2 linked regions of the Lonchura striata genome follow. The protein of the gene in region 1 purifies or fractionates together with the protein of each later gene. This does not show direct contact. Links are inferred from orthologs where the notes say so. Each region holds a gene or a part of one and is shown in the gene's direction. Other genes may lie near its edges.

Region 1 (7,591 bases):
AAACAACCTGCACAATAAACAGGAAAAAGCTATTAAGAAACTCAATCTATTCTAATACTTCTCAAGAACAGAGAGTGCTTATTTAATATTTTAGAGTAAACAGTTTTGAAAAATGTCAAACTATCTCGAAACCGAGATATTATAACAACAATACTAAATTTGCAGAGTGAAAACCATCAAAATCTACAAATACACAGGACAAATGTTGACCTCAGATTAAGCAAATTTAATCCTTTTGCAAGCAGTGATGAATACACTAATAGCACTTCTGGAATGACATTATTATCTCACTGAAATCAGCTATAGGAGTTCTATTAACTGCAATAGATCCAAGGTTTCATTCCTGAGCTGTGAGGTGATGAAACAAAATGAATCAGATGTTGGAGAAGGTTGCCAGATATTGCTGATCAACAGCACAGGTGTTGTTTTAATATAAAAATTACATCGGTCTGGATGAAATAGAAGCATTAGATCAGAAATTATACTAAATGCAATAAAACAGATCAATGCATTAGTAAATTTCAAAATGTGTTCAAACAACAACAAAGACCACAGTAAAAAACAGCTTTGAGTTGGAAATTAAACTGTGGCCTTACTGGGGTCCTTTGCAGACTCAGTGATTGTGTGACATCCCCCCAGAGCTTGGGACTGTGCTCTGTTCTTCATGCACTGCCTCTCACTATGCTTTTGATAAGTACCAACCCAGCCTTCCCCCAAACCATGCACATCCCTGATGTCAGTCCCATCTACTGCACAGCCATGTCTAACAGGGTGCTTGCATGGGAAAACCTCTAAATCCTATTATCATACTAAGGAGATATCCAAACTTCTGGTTTTCCTCAGTTTTTCTTAAACAAGAGATGTGTAGAAGAATTGCGCAACAGAGATACTTCTGTCTTGTAAATATGCATGGCGGAAACTTCGAAACTTCTTTTGCATTTGTACTCTTTACTGTTATTTTTTAACCTCATTAAAAGGAGAAAAGACAGAAACTTTTGAGGCATTCAGCATTTTGCAGCTATTTCCCATGTCTTGATTTTATGAAAGCTGAGACCCAGTTCTTCTGGTACATAAGCAGCAGGTAATTCTGGAGGCTGAATTACTATTTCTGAGAAGCATGCACTATGGCTTAATCTTTGCTTGATTCACGAACAGAAACAGAGAGTGGAAATAACAGAGTTAACATTCTTCTTCTATGTTAAGACAGAAGATGAAAAACCTCTGTTTTCCAGTTTATCTTCCAGATCCCAAGGGTAAGAATGCATAAACAGAGTGGAACATTTGTTTTGTTAACAAAGCCCAACAGACCACCAGATAACAATTTTAAATATTGCACTGTAAATAAAAGATGTAATTTAAGATGCTGTTTTATGTGCATTATAAAGTAAGTCTGGAAAAAACCTGCAGCCAGAGTAGCTGCAGAGCTCTAGCGGCATTTTCACACATAGGTCATGTAACTCCACCTTTTGAAGCCAATTTCAATCAGGCAAACCTGCTCTGAGGTGCTTTTCTAGAGCACTTTTTACTTGTTTCTTCTTCAGGCAGTGATGGTATTAAAATCATGTGGGTTTTGGTGTTGGCAAGAGCGGTGTGGAAAAAAGTATGTAGGAATGATGGTGGCAGGCCTGGAGGAGGGGCAGGCAGCTGAAGTGGAGGGTGGGGGCTCCAAGGCAGAACCTGAACCTAAATTACTCAGAGGGCCTCCCCAGCCTTCCCAGTCCACAGTCCTTCCTTCATGGCTCGGCTGAACTACAGGTATTCACCAAAGAAATTATGTGATCCACAAGTATTACTATGAAGAGCTGATTTTGAATGCAAACCATTTAAGTCCTCTCAATGTATTTATTATCAGGACATATTTTTGAAATGGGTTATTATGTCCCTATATATGTTCTTAGCATACCTACACCAGATTTTGCAAGAGAGAAAAAATGTGTTAGTCCTTCTGACTAAATTTTTCTCACCTGTACTCCAACTTTGCATGAATACAAACATATCTCTTACAGGAGAATTCTTCAGAAGCAGATTTAGGACACAGAAATCATCAAGTTTTGGATGGATTTAACTGTCTAACTGTTTTTTCTTATTTGTTTTTTTGTTGCTGGTACATTCAAATACCCCAGGATGCACCATCTGCTTGAAAGTATGGTACTAATGAAAAGGCCCACAGTGACAACACTGTATCTGACAAAAAGTGTTAGCAAGGAGGATGGGAAACAACTCATGTTCCTGCCTACTAATACATAATAGCTCTTATTTCTCATTCAGGTTTTGCAGGAGCTCAGTCTCTCTCAACTTTTCACAGAATTGTAGAATTGTTGGAAGAGTTGGAAGAAACGTCTGGAGATCATCTAGTCCAGACCCCCTCCCAAAGCAGGGTCACCTAAAGCAGGTGACACAGGAACTCATCCAGGTGGATTTTGAATGTCTCCAGAGAGGGAGATTCTATAACTCCCCTGTTCCAGTGCTCGGTGACCCTTAATATAAAAAAGTTCTTCATGTTGAGATGGAACTTCTTGTGTTTGAGTTTATGGCCACTGCTCCTTGTCCTGTCTCTGGGCACCATTGAAAAATTTGGCACCATCCTCTTGACACCTACCTTTGAGACACTTACATGAGATCCCTTCTGTCTTCTCTTCTCTACACTAAACAGGTCCATTTATTCCCTGTTAATATTCCTAAGACTTAATGTAATGACAGTTTTCCAACTTTAATGGTTTTGGCTGTTTTCAAGGCCAGAAGGTCAGGCCATCCATGACAGTGCCCAGGACTGGACCCAGCCATCCCAATGTTGAGTCTCTTGATGCTTCTTTCCGGTACCCTCAAGAATATCACTTTTACATCCAGAACTTCACAGCTCTCTCTCTCTGAACACAGTAGTTCCACCACAGGGACAAGCCGCGTTTGAGTACTCCTTCATCCTTGCTGAGCCTATGTCTGGTTGTCTTTTCGGTCTGGTTATTAATCTCAACTACAGAGATGCAAGTGGCAATGTTTTTCAAGATGCTGTCTTCAATCAAACTGTTACAATTTTTGAAAATTTTATTTTTAAACGAGGGTACATGGCAGCATCTGGGAACTGCCTCACCCATGAACAGCACTGACCCGTGTCCGAGCCACCAGCGCTGCCAGGACCCACCACCCAGGTTCGCTCTCCCTTCTCCAGTTTAGAGGGAAAGGCCGGTCAAGCCAATGCCCCTGAGGCCCGAGGGAAGGGCGCCCGGTGTCCCCTCCAAGACTACAACTCCCAGCAGGTCCCGCTACTACCGCGGGGCATGCCGGGTGCTGTAGTTCTCCCGGCGCGGCTGCCCGAAGCGCCGAGCCAGCGGCACCCTGCCCGCTCCATCCCGAACTGTGTGTGTGTGCTTGGGAAGGCGAGGAGCGGGGATGATGATTCTCCCCGCTCCGCCGCAGCCACCGCTGCTTGTGGGGACTGGACCGGCATAAGATGCAGTGCCGGGGAAGCCAGACTGGATCAATGAGCCGAGACCAATGGTGTGAGGTTCAACAAGACCTAGTGCCAGGTCCTGCGCTTGTGTCACACCAACCCCTGCAGCGCTACAGGCTGCGGGAAGACTGGCTGGAAAAAGTGCTCAGCAGAAAGGGGTCTAGGGATGCTGGTCAGCAGCAGCTGAACATGAACCAGCGTGTGACTAGGTGGCCAAGAAGGTCAATGGCATTCGGGCCTTTATCAGGCATCATGTGGCAGCAGGACCAGGACAATGATTTCCCCCCTATATATAGCACTGGTGAGACTGCACTTGAGAACTGTGTCCAATTCTGGGCCACTCAATTCAGGAAAGACATTCAGGTGCTGGAGTGTGTCCAGATAAAGGCAATGAAGCTGGTGAAGGGTCTGGAGCACATGTCCTGTGAGGAGCAGCCGAGGGAGCTGAGAGTGTTTAGCCTGGAGGACAGGCGGCTCGGGGCGGTCCGTGTCTCCCTCTACAAGTGCCTGACAGGAGGTTTTGGCCAAGTAGGGGTCAGTCTCCCAGGCAATTAGCAATAGGATGACAGTACAAAACCTCAACTTCCACCAGGAGAGCTTTAGGTTGGACATTAGGACTAATTTCTTCACAGAAAGAGTGATTAGGTATTGGAATGTGATGCCTAGAGGGGTGGTGGAGTCACGGTCCCTGGAGGTGTTTAAAGAAAGACTGGACGTGGCACTGAGTGCTGTGCTCTGCCTTACAGGGTGCTGTCCTGTCACAGGTTGGACCCCATGATCTCCAACCCAACTGATTCTGGGATTCTGACTCGCTCTACCCGCCAGAGTGGAAGGGAATTGCGCGTGGGTGTGTGCGTTCGCCCCTGTGTTTCCACGTCCCTCTGTGTCCCGCTGTCCGTGTGTGTGGGACGACCCCGCGGCACCCGGGCGCATGCGCACAAGGAAGGCCGGGGGGGCGCGCCGCCGCCGTCGTGCCCGCGCAGGGGGCGGTGCTGCCGGGGCTGGGAGGGCGCGGGGCCGCGCTCGGGGGCGCGCAGCAGCAGCGGCAGTGCCCGCCCTCGGCCCGCGTCCCGCCGGCAGAGCCCGCAGAGCCGCGCCGAGGCACCGCCCGCCCGCCGTGAGGGAGCGGCGGCACCGCCGGCCCCCTCCGCCCCTCCTCCGCCTCCTCCTCCGCCTCCTCCGCCCCTCCTCCCGCCGGAGCGAGCGAGCGAGATGGCGGCCGCTGGGGCTCTGGCGAAGCACGAGCAGATCCTAGTGCTCGATCCGCCCACCGACCTCAAATTCAAAGGTGAGGAGGGGGGAAGCCGGCGCGGCGGCGGGGAGAGGGGCGGCGGCGGCGGGGTGTCCCGTTCCGCCTGGGCGCCGGGCCGCCTCCGGGCGCCGCGTTCCCGCTGCCTGCCGCGGGCGGGCCGCGCTGCCGGGCGCTGCCCGCCCGCCGGGGGATGGGGGGCGCCGCCGAGCCGGCGAGCGGGATCGGCCGCCGCCATCTTGGGCTCCCGCGGGCTCCGCGGTGCCGGGTGGGATCGGCCGCCCCTGCCCGCCCCGCCCCGCCGTGGCGCCGCTGCGCTCGCGGGCCCGGCCCCGAGCAGCGGCGCCCGGGGACGCGGTTTGCTCTCCGGTCCCTCTGGCAGCAGCGGGCAGGAGAGGCCCTGGCGCGGGCGGTGGAAGCCTTTCGGGGTTCCAGGCTTCACGAGGCTGCCCTAACGTCTGGCCTTGCCCCGCTTTTTCTCTCGGGCGTGCTGGGGCCCCGGTGTCCGCGCGGAGCCGGTGCGGCTTTGCACCGTCAGTGCCCGGCACCCGCGCCCTCGCCCCGCTGCGTCCCAGCCCGGCAAAGGGCTCCCCGCCCCTTCCCCAAAGCTGTCGCGTCTCAGGCAGGCTATCGGAACGTAACTCGGGAGCTCGCCTCTTTCCTGGGAGCGAGGGAAATGGAATGCGTGCCTTTCGGAAGTTTTATGTGTGTTGCGTGCCGGCCGCATGGCTGTGACTGCTGACGTGCTGCTGTCAAAATAGGTCCCAGCTAGCGCTGGTATCGTGTGTGTCTGTGGTTTTCTCTCCTCATGAATTAGGTAGTTGTGAAAGGAAAGGCTCTGTCAGAAGTGAGTGATCGTTGAAAGGCAGGGGCATAAAGAAAAGTGTGTCAGAACATGTAGTTTTTGTGATGATATCTTATATCTGTAAGGGGCATTGAGAAAAATCTCAGAACCTTTCAGATTTGGAATCATCAGTATTAGGTTTTTTATTAAAAAAAAAAGTAGTTAATATTATGTGAAATAACATTGTAAATTGTTGTGGTTGGTGTCAGCACATGTACATGCCTAATCCTGTGCATTCTTCTGTTTTCCACTTTTAGTATGCTCATTTTTCATTGTTTTTAGAGGACAGAGTGGAATTTACGATGCTGTAAAAATCTTCTACGGACAGCTAGAACAAATGAATGTTTGTATTAAAAAGAACACTGTATTCCCCCAAAATAGCTTTGCTCTGGCCTAGCATTTAGATAAATTAGCAAACTATACTTGTTTTATTGATGCGTCAGATCAATTAAAACCCAACATCTGTATAATTATGTGTATTAATTTCTCGATAGCTTCAGTTTAATTTTTTTTTTTTAAATTGCACTTTTTAAAAATTACACAGAGTCAAAACCGTTGCAGGAACTTGTGATTTTTCACTTTGGTTTTTGGGTATTAAAATGCTGCCTAAATTAAAATGCTGTGGTCAGAACAGGTTGATGCAAGAACAGGTTGGGGGAAAATGTATTATTTTAATTTTTTTTTTTTTCAATTAAAAGAAGATACTGTGTCCGATTTGTAGCCTGCAAATGGTGAGATGTGTTTTAAGCTGGAACTACACAATATTGATGTGATATGAAAGAGTGTGTTGATAGAATAAATACTAGATTAGAAATTCTGTGTGAAGCTGTTGTCAGTGATCTTTATTGTGCTGTGTGTTTATGTACTTAGAGCATGAAATGTGTATTCTTTAGGCATAAACTTTAGTTTCAGGCTAATGCATATATTAGGAAAATTTCTGTAGAGCAGACTAAGCAAAAACAAAATATGAAGCATAATGAGACTGCAGTACTCTGTTACTGTACTATTGTAGTAATATACTATAGAAAGTGCTATGAATTGAGAGAGCATTGAGTGCACTCTCAAGAAATATTTTCTACCTGTTTATTACTTAGAGGTGTTTAAAAAGGTTTGTGTGCCACAAACAAATGCAGTTCTAAAGTACTGTGTTGAAGAATACAATATTGACAGCAGTGAATTCTGAGTGTCACCTTTTAAAAAGTAATTGGTTAGTAAGAAAGAGAATGTATGACTCAGAATAAATATAGCATAGTGTAAGAAAAGCACAAAACTTTGTTAAAAGAATAAAGCGCTACATTTTTTCAGTGCTGTTCAAAGTTATTTTATTGGTACAGTCATCCATTTTATTATTACTAGTATCGTTGATGCATATGTAACAGAGATCCAGTTTACATCTAAACATTTGAATTGAACAAATAATTTTGTTGGTTTTCTTGCCTCAGGAAGTTAAAATGGATTTGCTGACCTTTAGGGTAACAGTGAAATGTGATAGTGTGCCCCTTTACAAACAACTGTTTTATTAAAAGATATGTAGTACTTATCTTAACGAGTTGTTAACAAGGTTTTAAATTCATCATGACCTGATGAAACTGCTTTTTTTATTAATCTAACCTAATTTATCCTGTCAGCAAACATAAGGTCTGTAATACATTTATCCTTGAATTTTATTCAGCACAATTCAAGGGGAGTTCTAAGAACATGTCCTGTGGTAGCTAACATATTACATAGTTCCCTTGGTGTCCACGATGGCAATCCTGTTTTGATAGTGCTTGTAGTCCTAGAAATTTCAGTCATTAATAGTGTTCGGGTCATGGTTAATTCTCTCTGTCCCCCTTTGGTAGGTGAGTTTCTTTGGATTCTGAAACAACCAAGAATATCTTAAGAAAACTCACAAAACAAATAAGTACTTCTCATAGTGTTGTGCAAATGTGACAAAGGGAAAAAGTGTACTTAAAAGTGATGAAACCAAGAGGCGGTTAATAAACTACATAATAGCAGGTTCAGAGCATGGAGCACTGAGAATTTGCCTCATGGCAAAATTCTGCTCTTG
Region 2 (7,209 bases), on another chromosome or scaffold:
GTCGCCCCCAGTGCCCCCCAGTTCCCCTCAGTCACCCCCCAGTTGCTCCCAGTTCCTCCCAGTCGCCCCCAGTGCCCCCCAGTTCCCTCCAGTCGCTCCCAGTGCCCCGTACCCAGGCGCAGAGCCCGACCCGCTCCCAGTGCAGACTTTCGGGGGGCTCCAGCGGGGACCCCGGTTCTGCCCCCACGAAGAATTCATACACGAGGTGTCCTGGAGGGGGAGGGGGCGCAGCCTCAGTGCCCAGACACCCAGAGCCCCCCCGGACACCCAGAGCCCCCCCGGACACCCAGAGCCCCCCCGGATGACCAGAGCCCCCCCGGATGCCCAGAGCCCCCCAGCCTGGCCCCCCAGCACCCACCGCCACCCCCGAGCCCCCCAATCCCCTCCCACAGACCCCCCACTTGCCATGACCCCCCCAATCCCCTCCCCAGCCCCCCCAGCCCCCCAAATCCCCTCCCCAGGCCCCCGCTCACCGGTGCCCCCCCCCCGCAGTCGCCGCCGCGTGAGGAGGACGAGCCCGAGGCCGAAGGCGACGCTGGACGCGGCCGCCGCCAGCGGGGGGAGGAGGGGGCACAGGGGGGGCAGGGGGACCCCCAGGGCCAGAGCCCCCCCCAGCGCCCCCCCCAGCGCCAGGAGCCCTGAGCCAGCGGCAGGGAGAGCTGCGACCCCCGAAGGGACGCCCGAGCCCCCAGCCCACCCCCAACCCCCCAAAAGGACCCTGGGCCACCCCCCCGAGTCCCACCAGGACCCCCGACCCCTCCGAGGGACCCTGGGCTCGGACCCCCACCCAGCCCCCCCAGAGGGGCCCCCAGGGACCCCCACTCACAGCCGAGGTCCCGCAGGGGTCCTGGGGTGTCACCGGGGCTCTGGGGACAGCAGAGTCACCCTGACCCCCCGCCCTGACCCCCTAGACCCACCGGGACCCCCCCCCCACTCCCCTCCTCAGTGTCTGCAGAACCCTGGAACCACCCAAGCCACCCCCACCGTGCCCCCACCCCCCAAATCTCCCACCCCACAAATCCCCCCAAATACTCCAAGCGCCCCCAAATTCCTGCATCCCCATATCCCCCTCATATCCCCCACCCCCCAAATTTCCCAAGCCCCCCCAAATCCCCACATCCCCCCCAAATCCCCCTCATATTCCCCACCCCCCAAAACCCCCCATGCCCCTCGAATCCCCAAGCCCCCGTGCCCCCCACTCACCCTCGGGGGTCTGCAGCAGCTCCCGAGCGCATGCGCGCCCACCCAGGCGAGGACGAGCGCCAGCGCGGGGGCCGTGGGCAGGGCCAGGGCGGGGGTCCCCCAGCCCTCCCCCTCCCCCACGCAGGCGCTGACGACCCCCACCAGCCCCAGCGGCAGCAGCAGCGTCAGAGCCCCCGCGCCTGGGGGGGGCGGGTGAGACCCCACCCCAAAAAGGGACCCAGGGACCCCCCAAGGAAAGGGGCCTGGGTGTGTCCCCCTCCCCAAAAAAGGGTCACTCCCCCCCCACCCCCACAAGGGGTCTGAGGGCCGGGTGCCCCCTTTCCCCCAAAAGGGGTCCCCAACCCCTCCCAAAGGGGACCCCAGACTCCCAGCCCCTCCCAAAGGGGACCCCAGCCCCCCAAAAGGGGACCCCAGACTCCCAGCCCCTCCCAAAGGGGACCCCAGCCCCCCAAAAGGGGACCCCAGACTCCCAGCCCCTCCCAAAGGGGACCCCAGGCTCTCGACACCCTCAGCCCCCAAAGGCATCAGGAGCTCCCTTCCCCCTCCCCAAAAAGTGACCCAGTTGTGCCCCCACCCCCCAAAACTGAACCCCCCCTTACCCCAGGGCCCCCCAAATTCCAGCTCGGGGGTGGGAGGTGCTCGGGGGGGCTCCATGGCTGGGGGAGGGACGAGGGGATTTTGGGGGGATTTTGGGGGGATTTTGGGGGTCCGGGGCGCGCAATCTCCGCCTCTGGGGGCGTGGCTTGGCGATGACCACGCCTCCCAGGTGGGTGATGTCATCGTGCCGCGCGCGGATTGGCTGCAGCGCCGCCCCGCCCCCCTTAAAGAGACAGTAACCCTTTTCTGGTGTTCTGTGACGTCACGAGTTACGTCATCACACGGCAGACCCACGACAAAAACTCGTTTAATGGGCAACAAACGGGGGGCGGTGTGGGGGCTGACAGCTCCGGGGGTCCCACACATGTGGGGCCCCTCCCCCCCCACGGGGGTCTCACCTCAGGGTCCCACAGGGCAGGGGAGGGGCTCTGCATGGGGGGTCCCCGCACAAGGACCCCCCAGTCCCGAGGGTCCCGTGGGGGTCCCGTGGGGGTCCCCAGGCGTCTCTCTGGCCTGGAGAGGTCCCACAGGGGTCTGGAGGGTCCCCCGAGGGTCCCTCCTGCACGGGGGGGCCCCAGGGGTCTCGGGGTCACTCCACGACGAGCGGGAACCTCTCGGCCTCCTCGAACTGCGCGTTCATGGAGGAGGCCCAGGCCTCGAGCTCCGACAGCTGCGGGGGCACGGGGAAGCTGGGGGGCACTGGGGAATGAGGGTACGGGGGAATGGGGGGCACTGGGGAATGAGGGTACGGGAATGGGGGGCACTGGGGAATGGGGGTACGGGAATGGGGGGCACGGGGGAATGGGGGGCACTGGGGAATGAGGGTACGGGAATGGGGGGCACTGGGGAATGGGGGTACGGGAATGGGGGGCACTGGGGAATGGGGGCACGGGGGAATGGGGGGCACTGGGGAATGAGGGTACAGGAATGGGGGCATGGGGATGGGGGGCACTGGGGAATGGGGGCACGGGGGAATGGGGGGCACTGGGGAATGAGGGTACAGGAATGGGGGCACGGGGATGGGGGCAGTGGGGGCACAGGGATGGGGGGCACTGGGGAGTCAGTGGGGGAAAAGGGGGGCTGAGGGGAGCAGCAGGGCAGGGGGGAGGGTCAGGGGGGTGAGGGTCCCACAGATCCATGGGGGGGTCTGGGGATGCTGAGGGGGTCATGGACTCCTGGCACTTTAGGGGGGCATTTTAGGGGTCTGGGGGGGGGGGTAAATAGGGGCACTGAGGGGTCACAGGGGAGTCCTGGTGGCACAGGGGGGGCACAGAAGGGTCCCGGGGGGTCCCAGGGGGCATCACTCACGTCAATGGGCGTCACCTTCTTCTTCCTCCTGCGCTCAGGGCGGCCGCTGATGCCGGGCAGGTCGAGGGGGGGGATCTGGGGGGGCTCGGGGGGCAGATTGAGGGGGAGGGGGCTCAGCGGGGAGCCCCCCAGCCCCCGCGGGGCGCCCCCCCCCGGCTCCAGGCGGCTGTAGGAGCGGCGGACGCGGGAGGCAATGGGGGAGGGGAGCGGGGAGAGGGGAGGGCAGGGGGACGGGGAGGGGCAGGGGTCGTTCTCCTTCTGGGCCTGCAGCTGTGGAGGGGGGCAGGGGGGGTCAGCGTGGGGGAGGGAAGGGCAGGGTGGGGTCCCGGCCTTACCAGGACCCCCCCATCCCCACCGCAGCCCCCTCCCCCCCAACACACCCGGGGGCTCCGTCGGGGTCGGTCCAAGTCCTGTGGGGGAGGGGAGAGGGTCTGTGAGCCCCCAAACCGGGACGCCCCCCCGAAAACCCCGGGACCCCCCCCCAAACCCTGGGGCTCCTGGAACACCCCCCAGGACCCCCCACAACCCACTGGGACCTCCCTCTTCATGCCCCTGAGAGCCCCCAGCCCCTAGGACCCCCCCCAAACCCCTTGGGGACCCACCCCCGACCCCCAGAACCGTCCCCCAGCCCCCCACTCACCGGGCTGTGGGGTGGGGGTCCCCAGGGGGGGCCACCCCGGGGCGACGAGACCACCAAGCGCTCGGAGCTGTGTCGCGGCACTGCGGGGGCAAAGGTGCGGGGCGTGGTGGGGGGCGAGGGTCGCGACCCCCGGGACCGCCCCAGGGACACTCCAAACCCCGCAGAGCCCCCCCAGAGCCGCAGGACGGACACCCCCGGCCCACAGCCCTGCCCGTGAACCGACCCCAGCCCCAAATTCCCTCGGGGTCCCCCCAAGGCGCCCCCAGCCCCACCCCCGCCCCAAATCCCCCTCGGGACCAGCCCACCCCCAAATGCCGCCCGGCACCCCCCGGCCCCCCTCACCCCTCGGAGTCGCCCCCGCCGAGCGCCGCCCGCCCGCGGCTCCCGCCATGGCCGTTCGAACGGCCGGAAGTGGCGTCACGCCGCGCGCCGCAGCAGCCCGGCCGCGCTTCCGGTGACGTCACCCAGGGGCGCCGCACCCGGAAGCGCCAGCGGGGCAGCGCGGTCGCCATAGGAACGGTGAGGGGGGGTTTGGGGGGATTTGGGGGATCCAAGGAGGGTCCGGGGGGATCCCGTGGGTCCGGGGGTCCCGGGGGTCCCGTGGGTCCGGGGGTCCCGTGGGTCCGGGGGGATCTCGTGGGTCCGGGGGTCCCGTGGGTCCCGTGGGTCCGGGAGGGTCCCGTGGGTCCGGGGGTCCCGTGGGTCCGGGGGTCCCGGGCAGCGGCAGCTCCTCCGGGGGGCTCGGGAGCCCCCGGTCCCCCCGACTTGCCGGCTCGGCGCCGCCCAGGCCGCCATGGGGCTGTGCAAGTGCCCGAAGCGCCGGGTGACCACGCTCTTCTGCTTCGAGCATCGCGTCAACGTCTGCGAGAGCTGCCTGGTCAGCGCGCACCCCAAGGTGGGGCGGGGGCTCTGGGGGCTCTGGGGGGCTCCGGGGGGCTGGGAAGGTTCGGGGGGCTCGGGGGGACTCTGGGGGGGCACTGGGGGGGATTCAGCGGGCTCTGCGGGGCTGGGGAAGGTTTGGGGCTCTCAGCGGGGCTGTGGGGGTCCCGGGGTGCCCCGCTGCCCGCTGAGCGCCGTGTCCCGCAGTGCATCGTGCGGTCATACCTGCAGTGGCTGCAGGACAGCGACTACAGCCCGCAGTGCCCGCTGTGCCGGGCGCCGCTGGGCGAGCGCGACACCGTCCGGCTGGCCTGCTACGGTGGGCAGGGGGCACAGGGGTCCTGGGGGCTTGGGGGGTCCTGGGGGGGTCTTGGTGGGCACCGTCCAGCTGGCCTGCTATGGTGGGCGGGGGCACGGGGGGTCAGGGGGTCCTGGGGGGTCCTGGGGGCACCGTCTGGCTGGCCTGCTATGGCGGGCAGGGGGCACGGGGGTCCTGGGGGCTCGGGGGGTCCTAAGGGGGTCCTGGTGGGCACCGTCCAGCTGGCCTGCTATGGTGGACGGGGGGTCCTGGGGGTCCTGGGGGGCACCATGAGGCTGGCCTGCTACAGTGGGTGGGGGGCACGGGGGGTCTTGGGGGGTCCTAGGGGGGTCCTGGGGGGCACCATGAGGCTGGGCATGGCGAGTTCTGGGGGGCTCGGGGGGTTCTGGCCTGCTATGGTGGCCGGGGGGCACGGGGGGTTCTGGGGGTCTCGGGGGTCTGGGGAGGGCTCGGGGGGCACCGTGCAGCCGGCCTGTTAGGGTGGGTGGAGGTCCCAGGGGGCTCGGGGGTCCTGGGGGCCCGGGGAGGGCTCGGGGGGTCCCGGGTGCCCCTGACCCTCCCCCTGCCCCCAGACGTGTTCCACTGGCCGTGCCTGGCGGCGTGGGCGCGGGCGCTGCCCCCCAGCACGGCCCCCGCCGGGCACCGCTGCCCCCAGTGCGGGGGGCCGCTCTTCCCGCCCCCCAACCTGCAGGGCCCCGTGGCCGAGGCGCTGCGGGCGCGGCTCCGGACGGCGCCGTGGGCCCGGCCCGGCCTGGGGCTGCCGCTGGTGAGTGCCGGGGTGGGCACGGCTCCCGGGGGGTCCCCACACCGCCCCGGAACTGCCCAGGGTGCCCCAAACCCCGCCCTGAAACGCTCCAAACCCCCCCAGATCGAGGACTCGGAGGAGCTGCCGGAGCCCGAGACCTCCACGGAGCCCGACGGGGGCTGGGACGGTGCGGGGCTGCCCCAAAAACACCCCCAGGAGCACCCCTGGGACCCTGCAGAGCCCCTGGGGAGCACCCCCGCGTTTCTGCCCGGGAAGCTGAGCCCCCCCAGCATCCCAAAACCCACCAGAGACCCTCCGAGATGATCCCTGTGTACCCCAATTCCTCCTCTGAGAGCCCCAAATTCCCCCTGGGACTAGGCAACTGCTCTGGAACCCCCCAAAAACCTTCCCAGGACCCCCAAAAATCTCCCAGGCACCCTGACCCCCCAGAAACCCTCCAAGGACCCCCAAAATTTTCCCTGGAACCCTGACCCCCCAGAAACCCTCCAAGGACCCCCAAAATTTTCCCTGGAACCCTGACCCCCCCGAAACCCTCCCAGGACCTCCAAAATCCTTCCTGGAGGCCCATCCCTCCCCCAAAGCGGCTCGATGGGACCCCAAAACCCTCTGGGACATCTCAACCCCCACCCCCCCAATCCTTCCTGGCGCACCCCAACCCCTTGAAGCCCCCCCGGGTCCTGCCCGGGGCAGCCCCCGATGCCCAGCTCTGTGCCCGCAGCCCCCCTGGCGCCGCCCCAGCCCCCCCCGAGCCCCCCAGCCCCCCACGCCGTCGTCCACATGGGGGGCGAGACCCCGACGCTGCACGCCGGTGAGTCTGGGGGCTTCGGGGGGCACCGCTGGGGGTCCCCCGGCCCGGGCTGGTTTTTAGGGTCCCCGTGCTCTCCCCCCAGGCTCTGCCCCACGGAAGCCCCTGGGGGGCCGTGAGGCCCGGAGCCCCCCCGACCACGACGAGGACAAATACCGGCGGCGGCCGCTGGCCTGGCTGCCCCCCAAGCTCAGGTGGGGCTGGGGGGGACCCGGGGGGCGCTTGGGGGGGTCACTCTGAGGGTGGCATGGGGTGCCTTTGGGGGATCCCTTTGGGGGGGTCCCTTTAGGGGGTCCTTCAGGGGTCCCTGGGCTCCCTTTGGGGGGTCTCTGGGTCCCTTCAGGGCTCCCTTTGGGGGGTCTCTGTGTCCCTTTGGGGGGTCCCTGGGTCCCTTCAGGGGTCCCTGGGCTCCCTTTGGGGGGTCTCTGGGTCCCTTCAGGGGTCCCTGGGCTCCCTTCAGGGGTCCCTGGGTCCCTTTGGGTCCCCCCTCTCTGACCCCTCCCCCGCAGGTGCCGCGCGCGCGGGGCCCCGCGGCGCCCCCTGCTGGCGCTGTGCCTGGGCGGGGCCGCGGCCTTCGCGCTGCTGCTGCTCCTATTGGCCAGCCTGGGCAGGGGCGGGGCCGACTCCGACCCCGCCCTCGAGCCGCTCAACAACCCGCACGTGCGGGTGGGGCACTGACCACGCCCCCGGGG

What was found. Proteins that work in one complex are often made in the same cells at the same time.
Region 2: the proteins of VAPA (region 1) and ZFPL1 purify together in Homo sapiens (co-immunoprecipitation; 3 studies listed by BioGRID and IntAct, counting the BioPlex papers as one, with this or other methods). This does not show direct contact. The link is inferred for Lonchura striata from reciprocal best matches to the Homo sapiens genes VAPA and ZFPL1.

What each region holds. Positions count from the first base shown.
Region 1 is NC_134603.1:51,864,873-51,872,463, forward strand, and holds the start of VAPA (vesicle-associated membrane protein-associated protein A), read left to right. Parts: upstream 1-4,581; 5' UTR 4,582-4,660; coding exon 4,661-4,736; intron 4,737-7,591. UniProt on the Homo sapiens protein: Endoplasmic reticulum (ER)-anchored protein that mediates the formation of contact sites between the ER and endosomes via interaction with FFAT motif-containing proteins such as STARD3 or WDR44.
Region 2 is NW_027461085.1:30,891-38,099, reverse strand, and holds the start of ZFPL1 (zinc finger protein-like 1), read left to right. Parts: upstream 1-4,202; 5' UTR 4,203-4,267; intron 4,268-4,535; 5' UTR 4,536-4,541; coding exon 4,542-4,643; intron 4,644-4,834; coding exon 4,835-4,946; intron 4,947-5,518; coding exon 5,519-5,712; intron 5,713-5,814; coding exon 5,815-6,002; intron 6,003-7,026; coding exon 7,027-7,195; 3' UTR 7,196-7,209. Other genes in the region: delta(14)-sterol reductase TM7SF2-like, read right to left, coding at 1,803-1,859, 1,963-1,983. UniProt on the Homo sapiens protein: Required for cis-Golgi integrity and efficient ER to Golgi transport. Involved in the maintenance of the integrity of the cis-Golgi, possibly via its interaction with GOLGA2/GM130.